Elephas maximus indicus: one gene and its partner. The protein of the gene in region 2 interacts with the protein of the main gene of each other region in a biochemical or structural test. Links are inferred from orthologs where the notes say so. Each region holds a gene or a part of one and is shown on either strand. Other genes may lie near its edges.

Region 1 (7,293 bases), on a different chromosome or scaffold from region 2:
ACCCTATGTACAACAGAACAAAACACTGCCTGGCCCTGAGCCATTCTCACAATCGTTGTTATTCTCGAGCTCCTTGTTTTCTTACAGCCACTGTGTCAATCCATCTCACTGAGTCTTTCTCTTTCTCACTGACCCTCTCCTTTACCCAGCATGATGTCGTTCTCCAGGGACTAGTCCCTCCTGGTAACATGTCCAAAGTATGTGAGACAAAATTTCACCATCCTTGCTTTTAATGAGCATTCTGGCATTACTTCTTCCAAGTTTTTGTTTTCTGGCAGTCCATGGTATATTCAATATTCCTTGCCAACACCATAATTCGAAGACATCAAGTCTTCTTTGGTTTTCCTTATTCCTTGTCCAGCTTTTGCATGCATATGAGGCGACTGAAAACACCATGGCTTGGATCAGGCACACCATGGCTTGGATCAGGCACACCTTAGCTTTTTAACACTTTAGAGAGTTAGCACTGAGTCTGCTTATGGGGATGGAAAATATGGCAAAGGATGTTGGTGATGGTTGCACAGAATGATTGATGTAATTTGTTTCATTGACTTGTACAAGTGACAAATGTTGAATTGGCAAATGTTGTGTTACCTCTATTTTTACAACACAACAACAAAAGGCACTTTTGCTCAGTTTTGGGGGGCTTAATCAAGAGAAACTGAGTCTGGAGAGAAGTCATCTTGGGTGTAGGTACTGCTAAATAACCTGGATGTCAAAACTTCTGGGATTGTTTGCCTGTGTCCAGAGGCCAGCCAGGCAGCAGCTTGGGGTGGTATTCAATGACAGAATGACATCTGTAAGAAGGAGCAAGGGTGGGGGAGCCAAGACCATCGAGGGCGCTGGGCACACAGAGCACAGGTTTCTAGAGATGATTCCTTTTATAGTTGTCGAAATAGAAATTGGTCCAGTTCCTGCCAAAGTGAACAGCCTCTACACTCCTCTCTACAACCCACACAACTCTATTGAGAATTTTCCCAACACCCAGTCCAAGTACCATCCCACCTCCTCTCTGAGATAGCCTGTGGACAGCTGCTTGAGGTCATTAGGGGCAGTTAGCTGAAATTCCTACCCTGAGCAACGCGTGGGGAAGCACTTCACTATTCACTGGCGGAAAGTCATTTCTTTCCAATTTTTAAGAACAGTTCAATTATACCTCTAAAGAAGATAACTTGTTCAAAACATAACATGTAAAAATCTGTATTTTGAACATCAGAGGTATTCAACTTTTATTAACTAAATAAATGCAAAAGAAATACTTTGAGTACACTAGCTTGAAGGGGGGCCAAATTGTTGCTCTGCGGGGCGTCTCCAGGTCAGCCTGCCGGTGACGCGGGGTGGGGAGGCTGCACAGCTACTCTGCATCTGTGGGTCCCAGACCTTGGTGTGAGGAGGTGACAGCAGACAATGCTCACCCACTCCACAGAGACCTCTCAGCCCTGGCACCACTTGCTAGCTGAAAACTTTCCTGCCCATCTTTCCCTGCTCAGACACCTCGCCCTACTCTCCAGACATTCTCCCGCGCTCTTCTTTGTCTCTCAAGGGAGTCCCTTTTACAAACACTTTCCTGTCTGGTCACGTAGGCCCTCAGATTCTCCTTTCTAGTTTTCTATTTCCACTTGAAAACTCCACCCTTCTCCTTTTCACGCTCTTTGAACAACCAACCCCTTGGAAACGCCATCTAAAGGGGTTTGGGTGTAAAGTGGGAAAAGGAGATGCTGAGAGGACACTGGAGGTGTTGACTGAGGCACCTGACTGTAGTGAGTCACTGCAGACAGAGCTCTGCCTCCCCTGCCAAGGTGGTGGTTATGGCCTGGGGCAGGTAGTAGAGACCTATGATCCTGTATCCTTTCGCCCTTGTCTGCTTCTCATGCCCTGGCTCCTGGACTGTGCTGCAGCAACAGGACTTAATACAGGACACTAGAAAGGAGAAGTTTCTGAAATATTTGTGCGTGATAAGGAAGCAATGAGAGCCAATGGTCCTGTCGTCTGCCCTGCTGTTCCTCCGAGGCCTCGGCCCAGCTCTTTCAGAAATCTCCAGTTTTTACCCATTCTTGAGATAAAGAGAAGAATTTCTGACATAGAGATGATGTGGTATCTTTGACCTACTGGCCAGAAATAGGGAAGCCAAGAGGTGCTCTCTAGAAATGGGAGACTGAAGAGGAATGTGTTTGAGCATGAGTCTTAGGTACAGTCAAGGGTCTCAACAGGAGACTGACTTAGAGCATCAGTACACTACATGGGCTGGGAGTCAGAAGACCTGGTGATCACCCCTCTGGGAACACGGGTAAGAGAATCAATGTGAAGTATGTTCTCATGCGCCAGGCACCAGTCTAGTCACAAATATTGACTCAAATAATTTAGCGAGTTACTGAATAATTGTTGATTCTCAGTTTTGCCGATGGAAAATCAAATGAAGGGGTCAACTTAGCTAACCTATAAAGTTGCTTCCATTTCTGACATTCTGGGATTCTGTGATCCTGCAATCACAGAAACTAGTCCCAGCTGAACCACCACGCACTCCCTCACCTTGGTTCTCAGCACAACTGTACATTAGCTAGGGCTTCCTGATCAGTTACACCATTTCCTATGTGGGTTTTATGTCCCTGGCTAGACCATACGCTCTTCCAGGGCAGAGACTTGTCTTCATCTCCTGTGGTCCTCCTTTCAACCCAGTGCCTAGGAGGGCTGGAGATTGTCAACAGAGATCAGACAATACTTTGTGTGGTCTGGGTCCTGGCTGGCTGCTGAATTCTGCTCCCCTGGGTTTTAGCCCTCCCTCTGTTTCCATCCACAGATGCTCATTACCCGCAACCACTCACATCCTGGCCTTCTGGCCATAAAAGCTTAAAAAGGCTAATAGCAGTGTCCCTCACCCCTATCAGGTAGGTTCCTCTTACTTCCTCTCTTGCTCCCCAACTCCCCTCACTGCTCAGCGCACCCACCTCCAATAGTGTGAGTGTCTGGCTCTCAGATCCCAGCTCCTCAAGACGACACCCGGCTCCCTTTCTGGCTGCTGCCACTCAGATCAAGAAATTCTGAGCTGCTGCTTCAGTTCCGTTATTCAGGTTTGCTGTCATTTCCTGCCACCCTGTCTTCACAGCTACTTCCTGAAGTTTGAGTCAGTTCCTTCTTAACCTAAAAAACTCATTGCCGACGAGTCAATGCTGGCTCATAGTGACCCTATAGGACAGAGTAGAACTGCCCCGCAGGGCTTCCAAGGCTGTAAATCTTTATGGAATCTGCCACATTTTTCTTCTGCAGAGCAGCTAGTGGGTTCAAACCACTGACCTTTCTGTTAGCAGCTGAGTGCTTAACTGCTGTGCCACCAGGGCTCCTTTCTTTATGCTTAGGGGCTTGACTTTAAAAGGATTAAATGATCCTGTGGTTACTCTTTTGCAAACTTTGAGGAGCATGAGGAAGTGATAGAAAATGCTGCTCTTATTCAGAGTTTATAGTCAGGGAAGCAAAACATTCAACCAGAAAACATGAAGAGAATGCTATAGTACTGCATTTGTGTCCTAAATGTGGTAGGCAGCTGCATCTATTGTAGTAAAGGAATTCAGAGAAGAATTTGGGGTGGGCCATTCCAACTCAGAATTTGGGATGGGCCATTCAACCCCACGTGTGTCAAAGTAGAGCTGTGTGCTCCACAGGGTTTTCAATTACTGAGTTTTTTTTTTTTTTTTTTTTTGGAAGCAGATTGCCAGATCATTCTTCCAAGGAGCCTCTGGTGGACTCAAACCTCCAACCTTTTGGTTAGCAGCCAAGTACGTTAACCATTTCCACCCCCCAGGGACTCGAGGATAGGCTATACTGATCAAGAAACGCTTAGTGGGAAATTGATTTTATGTAGCTCGTGAAGGTTAAGATTGAAAAAGAAACTCTACTTCTACACTGCTTACAGCACTTAAAACTTAAAACTGAGGTTTGCATGTAGTAAATATCCAAAAAACATTGATGCACTCAATGAAATAATAAGGGAAAAACTTATTAGGGGAAAGGAAAGACATGGAGGCAGAAAGGTTCATGGCTTGTTTGCGAGAGTTAGGCATCTGAGCTAATTGTAAAAAGATTTGGTTCCATATAGGAGGAACTTTGAAAGAACCCAATGGTACTGGATGATAGACAGTCTTTGTGGTATTCTGTGTTATTGCTCATCAGGATTTGCTGCTCCCAACAAATTTGAAAACCTAGAGGAAATGGACAAATTTCTAGAAACACATTACCTACTTAAACTAACACAAAATGATGTTGAAAATCTGAACAGACCCATAACAAGAGAAGAGATTGAAAAAGTAATAAATTTTTTTTTTTTTTTCCCAACAACAACAAAAAGAGCCTTGGCCCAAATGGTTCACTGGAGAATTCTACCAAACATTCAGCGAAGAGTTTACACCAGTACTACTCAAACTATTTCAGGACATAGAAAAGGAAGCAACACTTTCAAATGCATTCTATAAGCCAGCACTACCCCGATACCAAAACCAGGCGAAGACACCACAAAAAAAGAAAACTACAGACCAGTATCTCTCATGAATATAGATGCAAAAATTCTCAACAAAATTCTAGCCAATAGAATTCAGCATCATATCAAAAAAATAATACATGACCAAATAGGATTCATACCAGGTATGCAAGGATGGTTCAACATTAGAAAATTAATCAACATAACCCATCACATAAATAAATGGAAAGAGATCATCTCTTTTGATCATCTCAATTGATGCAGAAAAGTTGCTCAACAAAGTCCAACACCCATTCCTGATAAAAATTCTCATTAAGATAGGTATATAAGGGAAATTTGTCAACATAATAATGGGCAACTGTGCAAAACCAATGGCCAACATCATTCTTACTGGAGAGAGGCTGAAAACATTCCCCTAAGAACAGGAACAAGACAAGGATGTCCTTTATCACCATTCCTATTTAACATTGTGCTGGAAGTCCTAGCTAGAGCAATAAGGCAGGAAAAAGAAACAAAGGGCATCCAAATTGGTAATGAAGAAGTTAAATTATCCCTATTTGTGGATGATATGATATATGCATAGAAAACCCAAAAGACTATACAAGAAAACTACTGGAACTAATAGAAAAATTCAGCAGAGTAGCAAGATACAAGATAAACACACAAAAATCAGTTGGATTCCTAAACACCAATAAAAAGAACTATGAAAGGGAAATCAGGAAAGCAACACCATTTACAGTAGACTCTAAAAATATAAAATACTTAGGAATAAATCTAACCAGGGATATAAAAGACCTAACAAAGAAAGCTACAAAACACTACCACGAAAAACCAAAAGAGATCTACATAAATGGAAAAACACACCATGCTCATGGAGAGGTAGACTCAACATTGTAAAAATGACAATTCTACCCAAAGTGATTTACAAATACAATGCAATCTCAATCCAAATACCAACAGCATTCTTTAGAGATGAAAAAACTAATCATTAATTTTACATGGAAAGGGAAGAAGCCCCAGATAAAATAAAGCACTATTGAAGAAAAAGAGTAAAGTAGGACTCACGCTACCTGACCTTAGAACCTACTATACAGCTACGGTAGTCAAAACAGCTTAGTGCTGGTACAAAGACAGATACGTTGCCCAATGGAACAGAATTGAGAACCCAGATGTAAATCCGTCCACCTAATCTTTGACAAGGGTCCAAAGTCCACCAAATGGGAGAAATGGCAGTCTTTTTTAACAAATGGTGCTAGCAAAACTGTATGGCCATCTGCAAAAAAATGAAACAGGAACCATACCACACACCATATACAAAAACTAATTCAAAATGGATCAAAGACCTAAATATAAAGCCAAGAACTATAAAGTTCATAGAAGAAAAAATAGGATCAACTCTAGAGGCTCTAATACATGGCATTAACAGGATACAAACCATAACTAATAACACACAAACTCTAAAAGATAAGCTAGAAAACTGGGATCTTCTAAAAATTAAACACTTATGCTCATCCAAGGACTTCACCAAAAGAATAAAAAGGCAACCTACAGACTGGGGAAAAAAAATTAGCTATTACAAATCCGACAAAGGTCTAATCTCTAAAATCTATAGGAAAATCCAACATCTCTACAACCAGCCAGAATGCTCCTTAGAACCAAGGTTGGTGAGACTATCTCTCACATACTTTGGACATGTTACCAGGAGGGACTAGTCCCTGAGTCCGTGGAGAAGGACATCATGCTCGGTAGAGGCTCAGTGAAAATGAGGAAGACCCTCGGTGAGATGGATTGACGCAGCGGCTGCAACAATGGGCTCAAACATAACGACTGTGAGGATAGCACAGGGCCGGAAGTGTTTCGTTCTGTTGTACATAGGGTAGCTATGGGTTGGGACCAGCTCAACAGCACCTAACAACAGTCAGCTGTATGCTGTTAGAGCTCCCTTTCTCCACTCCAACCCAGAGGGATCTGTAAAGGCCTAATGTTTTCCATTCTGTACCAGACAAGAGTTCTCCCAAGACCATCCCCTGCATATTCTCTGCTCTAATGCTTCATGAACCTCACGCTTTAAGGCCTGGCCTCATTGGTTCAATGGCAGGATGAGATTTCCTCATTCCATCATTCCAGGACCTAGTGGCTAAGGCTGGAAGGACAACATGCAGCTATTACTGATGCTGGCCAGTGAGGAGGCCTGAGTATGTCGAGCTTTCTCCCCATGTATTCACTCCCAGCTACCCCACCCCTACCTTTTCCTCTAAGTACCTTCCTTCTCCAGCATGCAAACACTTGTATACAAGTACCCATATGTTCACATACATGCACACACTACCACAATTCTTCATTCTGAAAATAATTTTATTATTTTACAGTTCTTCAGGAACATTCCTGGGATGATGTGACCAAGGCTTGGTCACCAGAGGACAAAGGATTAGAGCAGAACAGCCAGTCCACCAGTCTTCTCTCTCCTTTGGGTGGTGCGAGCAGCCATGAGACACATCATGTGCACAATAAGGAAAAATAACTAATGGGCAAGTGTGGCGGGGCGGGGTCCAAGGAATAGGCACAACTGGAATTTGATACTGGCTGTCATTCTCAGGCCTAGATTTAAATATCTCATCTTCCCTATATTCTCCTTCCATTTGTCTTAGGTCTCTGTTACCACAGAAGGCTGATGAGCATGGGGCTGAGAAACTGGAATAACCATCACCAACAGCACAGCAGCTTAGCTCTTCAAGAAGCCAGGAGTGGCAGCGTGACCCCTTGTCAGACACTCCTTGGCTGGGGCTCACTGCCTCACCTACGTTGGCCCCTGTTGGCCCCCGGGG
Region 2 (7,605 bases):
CTTTAGAAGGGATATCTCGACATGCCCCACACCACTGGACCCTTAGAAATTTCACTGAGGTGGAAGGTGCCTGAATTTTTGTGGGATCAATTTCCCACCCTATAGCACGCAACTGTTTTAGCAGTAAGTCTGGAGTCATTGACACTTCTTCTTTACTAGGTCCAATCAGCATAATGTCATCAATGTAATGGACCAGTGTGACATCTTGTGGAAGGGACAGTTGATCAAGGACCCTGCGGACTAAATTATGACATAGGGCTGGAGAGTTGATGTAGCCCTGAGGTAGTCAAGTAAAGGTGTATTGCTGGCCGTGCCAGCTAAAGGCAAACTGTTTCTGATGGTCCTTTGAAACAGGTATATGGAGAAAAGGGCATTAGCCAGATCAATAACAGCATACCAGGTACCGGGAGATGTATTAATTTGCTCAAGCAGTAAATTACATCCGGAACAGCAGGTGTAATTGGAGCAACCACCTAGTTAAGTTTTCAATAATCTACTGTCATTTTCCAAGATCCATCTGTTTTCTACACAGGTCAAATAGGCGAGTTGAATGCGGGTGTGGTGGGAATCATCACCCCTGCATCCTTCAAGTCCTTAATGGTGGCAGTAATCTCTGCAGTACCTCCAGGGATGCGGTATTGGTTTTCGTTTACTATTTTCCTAGGTAAGGCCAGTTCTAAGGATTTCTCTTGGCTTTTCCTACCATAATAGCCCTTACTCTATTTGTCAGGGATCCAATATGGGGGTTCTGCCAGTTGCTGAGTATATCTATTTAAATTATGCATTCTGGAACTGGGGAAATCACTACAGCATGAGTTTGGGGACCCACTGGACCTACTGTGAGATGGACGTAAGCTAAGACTCCATTAATAACCTGACCTCCATATGCCCCTACTCTGGTGGGCCACAGTGAAGTTTTGGGTCTCCTGGAATTAGTGTCAGTTAAGAGCCAGTGTCCAGTAATCCCTGAAAAGTCTGATTATTTCCCTTTCCTCAATGAACAGTTGGAAACCCTGGTGGCGTAGTGGGTAAGTGCTACGGCTGCTAAACAAGAGGTCGACAGTTCAAACCCACCAGGTGCTCCTTGGAAACTCTATGGGGCAGTTGTACTCTGTCCTATAGGGTCGCTGTGAGTCAGAATCGACTCGGCGGCAACAGGTTTGGTTTTTGGTTTAATGAACAGTCACTCATAAAAGGCCGTAGATCCCTTTGGGGAAAGCTGGGAGAAAAATTAACAGTAAAAGTTTTTAGCAGTGTATTGGAGTCATTCCTCAAGGGGACACAGCCTCTCCTTCATTCAAGGGGTTGTGGGTCTTTAGACTCACTCAAAGCTGGGAACTAACTAGTGACTCTCTATTCTGCCCATTCAAGTTACACTGCTATTCATCTAAACTAGAATTCATCTGTTTGTACAGATCAAGTAAATATTTCATAGTCTTCCGATCTGTTTCACTCCTAGGAACACCTTGACTAAGTAGCCAATGCTGTAAGTCCATAAAAGGCAGATTTTCTGATTACTGCTTTGACTCTGCAGTCCACTACTGTGACCACACCCACCTTGTCTTTGTCGATTGAGTGCAGCCACTTGGCCCCTACTATCACAGGGTCCAGTGAGCTTCATTTTAGTGTCTTAATTCAGTTAGGGTAGTTCCCACTGTCAAATCTGATTTACTTAAGATAGCAATCACAGCAGTCTTCAAGGATCCCGGAGCTCCCTTCACAAATTTGTTCCTCACAGTTGTGGTAAAAGGTGTGTCCTCTGGTACTCCATGTGTGAGTCTGTGGGTCTAACCTAATAAATCCACTCCAGCATACCAATTTCCCTAAGCCTTTGGATACCTTCTTCTACAGTATACCAATGTAGATCCAGTACTTCAACTTGATTTAGTGTAAGCCACCTCGTAATCCATGCTTCAGGGACCCAAACAAATAAACCATTAGATCCTTTCCTAACTTCTTGAGCTGAAACATGGAATAAAGGATCTGTGCTTAGTGGACCCATATCAATAAACTCAGACTGATCCATCTCGATCTTCATTGCGCCATTATCCCAAACCCTTTATAGCCATTCCCACACATTCCCCAGGTGTTTTTTGGTACATATTAGAAAAGTCAAGCAGGTCTTTTGGAATGTAGCATACCTCCTCCTGAGTCATACTTTGTACTTCACCTTTTGGGACTGGCTGGGACTTAAGTCTAGTTACAGGTCTAGAAGCCAGAATCCATAGTGTGAAATTGTTTTGAGAACATTCAGCATTGTCTTGTAAAGCATCTGCCTCAGTCAATGCCCCAGGCAGTGACTCAGGCAAGGGCTCTTTAGAGGCAGCTGGGCTAGGGCTAATCTCATTAGATAGGAGTGGAGGAGGTAATGGTTTTTCTGGGCAGAGTGGTTTAGCAGAGAAACATGAAGTAATCTCTTCAGCTGGGATTGGTTCTGCTGGCAGGAATGATTTAATGGAATATAGGGGCTGTGTCTCCAGCTTCCTGATTATCTGCCCATACGTCCCCATCCCAAGTTTCAGGATCCCATTTCTTCCCAATGCCCTTACTTTAACTTCAGACTCCTCTCAAGGTTGACAGTTGAGCTGGGCTTGTAATTCAGTCACTCTTACAGTAAGACTCTGAGTTTGGTTTCCAGAAATTTCAGCTCTGTTACTACAAGAAATAAGGCTTTTTTTTTTTCAAATCACAAGTGGAAGGATTGAGGTCATATATGTGGCACTTGAGCTTTAACTCTGAAGCCCTGAGCACATCTCTTTAACCAGTTTGTCTACCTACCAACCTACCAGCTTTCTTATACTTTTCATTCTAACAAAATTTAGAAAGATATCACGTGTGTTCATCCAGAGCCTTGCCTTTCACCAATACCTGATCTACTGGTGGTGATATTTTGCATAATTGTATTGCCACCTCACGCCATGAATTAGCAGTGCCCTCTTTATTGCTGGAAGTAGAGTCATCAACATCTTTAAGACTAACCAGACTTGAGAACCAATTTAGGAAACTCATCCTTACAATTCTGTTTCTCTAGAACCACTCTGTGTGCCAAATGTCTGAGGCTAGGTTCTCTAAGGAAGCAGAACTAGTAAAATATATAAATATATACATAGAGATTTATATCAAGGAAATGGCTTACACGAATGTAGAGGCTTGAACATCCCAAGTCTGTGGATCAGGATAGAGGCTTCTCTTGATTCACGTAGCCACAGGGGCTGGAGAACCCACGATCAGCAGGTCTGAGAACAGTGCTCTTGCTCACAGGCTGTGAAGATCGATGAATCTGAAAATCTGCAGATAAGCTAATAGCTCAAGTCCCAAGAGCCGGAGGTCAGACGAACAGGAGACAGCCGTAGGATCCAGAGTGAGCAAAAAAGCTAAAACGTCTGGTTATATTCGGATGTAGGCCACATCCCCAGGGAAAATCCCTTTCAACCGATGGAGTACTTACAGCAGATTCAATCATGAAGGTGATCACCCATAAACAGCCAAGTTAACACATAATCTTAACCATCACAATTGCCTAGAAAGTTCCTTTGCTTCTGGATAGCTTAGAGGAGACAAAGTAGAACTCTAGAAGACAAGTAGTAAGGACCAAGCTTCTTAAGAAGCAGTAGAGCAGAGTGGCAGGGAAAGCCTTGGATCTCCATCACGTAGCTCTGTGTCATAGAAAAAGTTACTCAGTAGGGGTTGCGTTTCCTGACTTTTAGGATTGTTCCAAAAATTAAAGATGCTTAACACAGTACCTATGAGTTGGAATCGACTTGATGACAACAGGTTTGGTTTTGTTTTTTTTTTTGGTTAACACAGTACCTAGTATGTAATAAGTGCTCGGTAAGTAGTAGCTGCTTACAAGGACTTGTTCACTGTGTGAGGTGAAAGAATGAAAGAAGAAACTTTAGCTTATACTTCCAGGTTTCGTAAACCAATTCACCACCCTAAATGAGAAGTTGGGATGCCAAAGCCCAGTTTAAGAATAAAAATTCTGTGGTAGGTTGGAATTTCCTGGTACTGTACCTCTTGGGAATTTAAGCATCGTATACTAGTGTTATGTGAGTTATACCATTTTGGTGCCAAGTTCTTTGTTTTTTCTTTTAGCAAGGTGAAAATAGTATAAAGTCTTCTTATTGACTGAAGGGCTGCGTTCTTAAAATGGCCTGATCTGTTGAAACAGAAATAAGCTGCAATCTATATCTTAATGTGGGAGGGGGCATACAAATGTAAAAATTTATCCAGGTGCACATTTATTTGTGCACTTTGTGTACTTCACTGTTAATATCTTGGTTAAAGGGAAGAAAGGAAGGAAGTAGAAAGGACATTGCTCAGCTCACAGAAACCTTTAGCAATAAAGGTGAAGCTTGGGTTAGGGTGGTAATGCTGATACAAAAATGTTCATATAAAGTACTAACATGCAGAAATAATCATTCGGATAATGAATATAGTGCAGTGGTTTTAGTGGTTTTATAATGGCTGATTTTGATTGACTTCTATTTTCTTTATATTCTAGTTAATAAAAGTATCCATGGAGAACACTGAAAACTCGGTGGATTCGAAATCCATTAAAAATTTGGAAACGTGAGTATTTAAATGGAACCCTGTATAATCAGAGAAAAATCGGTATGTTTAAATGGCAAACTGAGGAGTGGGGAAGCAGAGCGTATATGAGCTTTCTAGCCAGAGAGACCAAGTTGACTTCTTCCCTCAGACAGCTGTGTGACTTTACACAGTTAACCTCTCTGAATCTCATCCTTATAACTTTCGTGGAATTGTGAAGAGGATTAAGGGAGGCATCTAAAGATCAAGCACGGTGTCAGTCCCATAGTCAGAAACCCAGTCCTGGAACTGAAAGAATGCACCAGGAAAAACCAAACCCACAAGTTTAGTTGGTTCTGTACCTTCCCAGATTGCTCTGCTGAAGGATTATAGGTTTTGTGTTTGTGGGAAGTTTTTTGGCCTCCTGTTAATGTATAACTTTTAAGACTAAAATGAAACGGCAGCTCTCACTGCCTGTTGTCAGATGCCATCGAGTTGGTTTCAACTCAGAGCAACCCTATGCACAACCGAATGAAACACTGCCTGGTCCTGTGCCGTCCTCACACAATTGTTGCTATGCTTTGGCCCATGGTTGTAGCCACTGTGTCAGTCCATCTCGTTGAAGGCCTTCCTCTTTTTCGCTGACGCTCTGCTTTACCAAGCATGATGTCCTTCTCCAAGGACTGATCCCTCCTGACAACATGTCCAAAGTATGTGAGATGCAGTCTTGCCTTCCTTGCTTCTAAGGAGCATTCTGGTTGTACTTCTAAGACAGATTTTTTTGTTCTTTTGGCAGTCCACAGTATATTCAATATTCTTTGCCAACACCACAATTCAAAGGCGTCAGTTCTTCTTCAGTCTTTCTTATTCATTGTCTAGCTTTCACATTCATATGATGCTACTGAAAACACCATGGCTTGAGTCAGGTGCTCCTTGCTATTCAACACTTTAAAGAGGTATTTTGCAGCCGATTTGCCCAGTTCAATGTGTCTTTTGATTTCTTCGCTGCTACTTCTATGGGTGTTGATTGCGGATCCAAGTAAAATGAAATCCTTGACAACCTCGGTGTTCTCTCCATTTATCATGATGTTTCTCCGTTTATCATGATGTCCTTCTTCCTAGGCTGTCTTAGTCTGGAAGCTCAGCTGAAAGCTGTCCACCATGGGTGACCCTGCTGGTATTTGAATAACAATGTCATAGCTTCCAACATCACAGCAACACACAAGCCCCCACAGTACAATAAACTGACAGATGAAGTGTGGGGGTCTCAGTGCCTAGTTATGAATTATCTTTTACCCTTTGTTTTTCTCTGGTCTTTCTTTTTGGAATATTGTAATTATAAATGCTTCTAGTAACTATCAAGTTCAGGAGGGGAAAAAGTTAAAACTCAAATATTCTTAATTTAATTCATATCTATTATTATCGATTAGAATTTCTTGTGATACTTTTAATTCTAATAATTTCTTTCAGGGACTCAATATCCTCTGGGTTAACCCAAGAATTACAAATTAATTTTAGTACTAAACAATATTATTACAGCAATATTGTTAACAAGTTGTCAATAAAGATTTAAAACCAAAAAAACCAAACCCATTGCCATCAAGTTGATTCTGACTCACAGCGACCCTATGGGACAGAGTAGGACTGCCCCCATTGAGTTTCCAAGGAGCGCCTGGTGGGTTCGAACTGCCGACCATTTGGTTAGCAGCTGTAGCACTTAACCACTATGCCACCAGGGTTTCCAATAAAGATTTTTCAGTGTTTAATTACCTTTAGGGAACTGGGTTATAGGTAAAGGAATTATCCTAGAAATTGAGCCTTTGAAATGTAATTCCATTTAAAATATAATTCCATTAAAGTAGTTTTTGAAACCTTTGTAAAGTGATTTACACATTTTCCTTCCTACTTTTCATTATCATATAGAACATCACTTAAATAGCAAATTACTCGGGAGCCCAAAACAGGTTTAGGACCATTATGGTCCTATGATTAGTTACCTTCACATTTGCAAGCATTTTGGGTCTCTGTTCTTCATCAGGATCAGGTGTGTCCACTCTCAGTCTAGCTATCACACATTGCCGCCTGTCTCTTTAGGAGGGAAATGGGGCTTATAATTCTGTGACTCATTATCTAGGGGTCTCTGGGTGGTGCAAATGTTTTGTACTAGACTACTAACCAAAAGGTTGGTGGTACAGATTCACCCAGTGGTGCCATGGAAGAAGGACTGTGTGATTTAGTTTTATAAAGAAAGATTGCAGTCATTGAAAACCCTGTGGAGCACAACTTTACTCTGAAACGTGGGGTCACCATGAGTCAGAACTGACTTGATGGCAATGGGTTTGCATTTTTTTTTTGTTGTTTTTTGACCTCTCATTTCCTGATTCTTGGTCTAGATCAGGGTCAGGCTTGTGGTTTGCTTTTGTCAGGTTTTATGGACACAGCCACACTCATTCGTTTACATATTGTTCAGGGCTGTTTTCACCAGCAGAGTTAAGTAGCTGCAACAGAGACTCTATGGCCTATAAATCTAAAATACCATCTTGCCCTTTAAGAAAAAATTTGCAGATCTGTGGTTTTTGGATAAATGATCTCCAAACAAGTATTTTCAATTGTTTATAATAGTGCTTTTATGTATTAATAAATTATTAGTTTGTTCAGCTCATAGAGTTTAAGGAACAATTTATGAATTTTGATAAATATTGTGCTTTGAGTCATATTTGCATGTTTTTGGTTTCCTATAATTTGGGGGTAATTTTCAAGATATTGCTCTTAACTTGGAGGATAAAATACTTCACAGAATTAAAGTATAAAACCTATTCGAGGGCAGAGCAAACATGGCGCTATAGACAGAAGCACCACACTGTCCCTCCATCGCAAAGACCTAAAAAACTAAAACAGAGAAAACATCAATCCTGGAACCTTAAGCATCAAATGAAGAGATAATGCAACGTAGCATCAAATGGAATAAGAAAGTGACAGAGAACAGAAAGCGAGGAGAGAGATGTGTGGAGATCCACTATCAGCTAACGCACCGCATGTTCACCGTCTTGGACGCCTGTCAGAGATCGGTGGACG

Evidence for each region.
Region 1: of the proteins of CASP3 (region 2) and HCLS1, one has a biochemical effect on the other in vitro, tested with the Homo sapiens proteins (2 studies listed by BioGRID). The link is inferred for Elephas maximus indicus from reciprocal best matches to the Homo sapiens genes CASP3 and HCLS1.

Annotation. Positions count from the first base shown.
Region 1 is NC_064819.1:12,176,096-12,183,388, forward strand, and holds the start of HCLS1 (hematopoietic lineage cell-specific protein), read right to left. Parts: upstream 3,054-7,293; 5' UTR 2,946-3,053; intron 1-2,945. UniProt on the Homo sapiens protein: Substrate of the antigen receptor-coupled tyrosine kinase. Plays a role in antigen receptor signaling for both clonal expansion and deletion in lymphoid cells. May also be involved in the regulation of gene expression.
Region 2 is NC_064839.1:83,406,622-83,414,226, reverse strand, and holds the start of CASP3 (caspase-3), read left to right. Parts: upstream 1-4,503; 5' UTR 4,504-4,519; coding exon of another isoform or gene 4,520-4,572; intron 4,573-7,327; exon of another isoform or gene 7,328-7,357; 5' UTR 7,358-7,531; coding exon 7,532-7,605. UniProt on the Homo sapiens protein: Thiol protease that acts as a major effector caspase involved in the execution phase of apoptosis. Following cleavage and activation by initiator caspases (CASP8, CASP9 and/or CASP10), mediates execution of apoptosis by catalyzing cleavage of many proteins.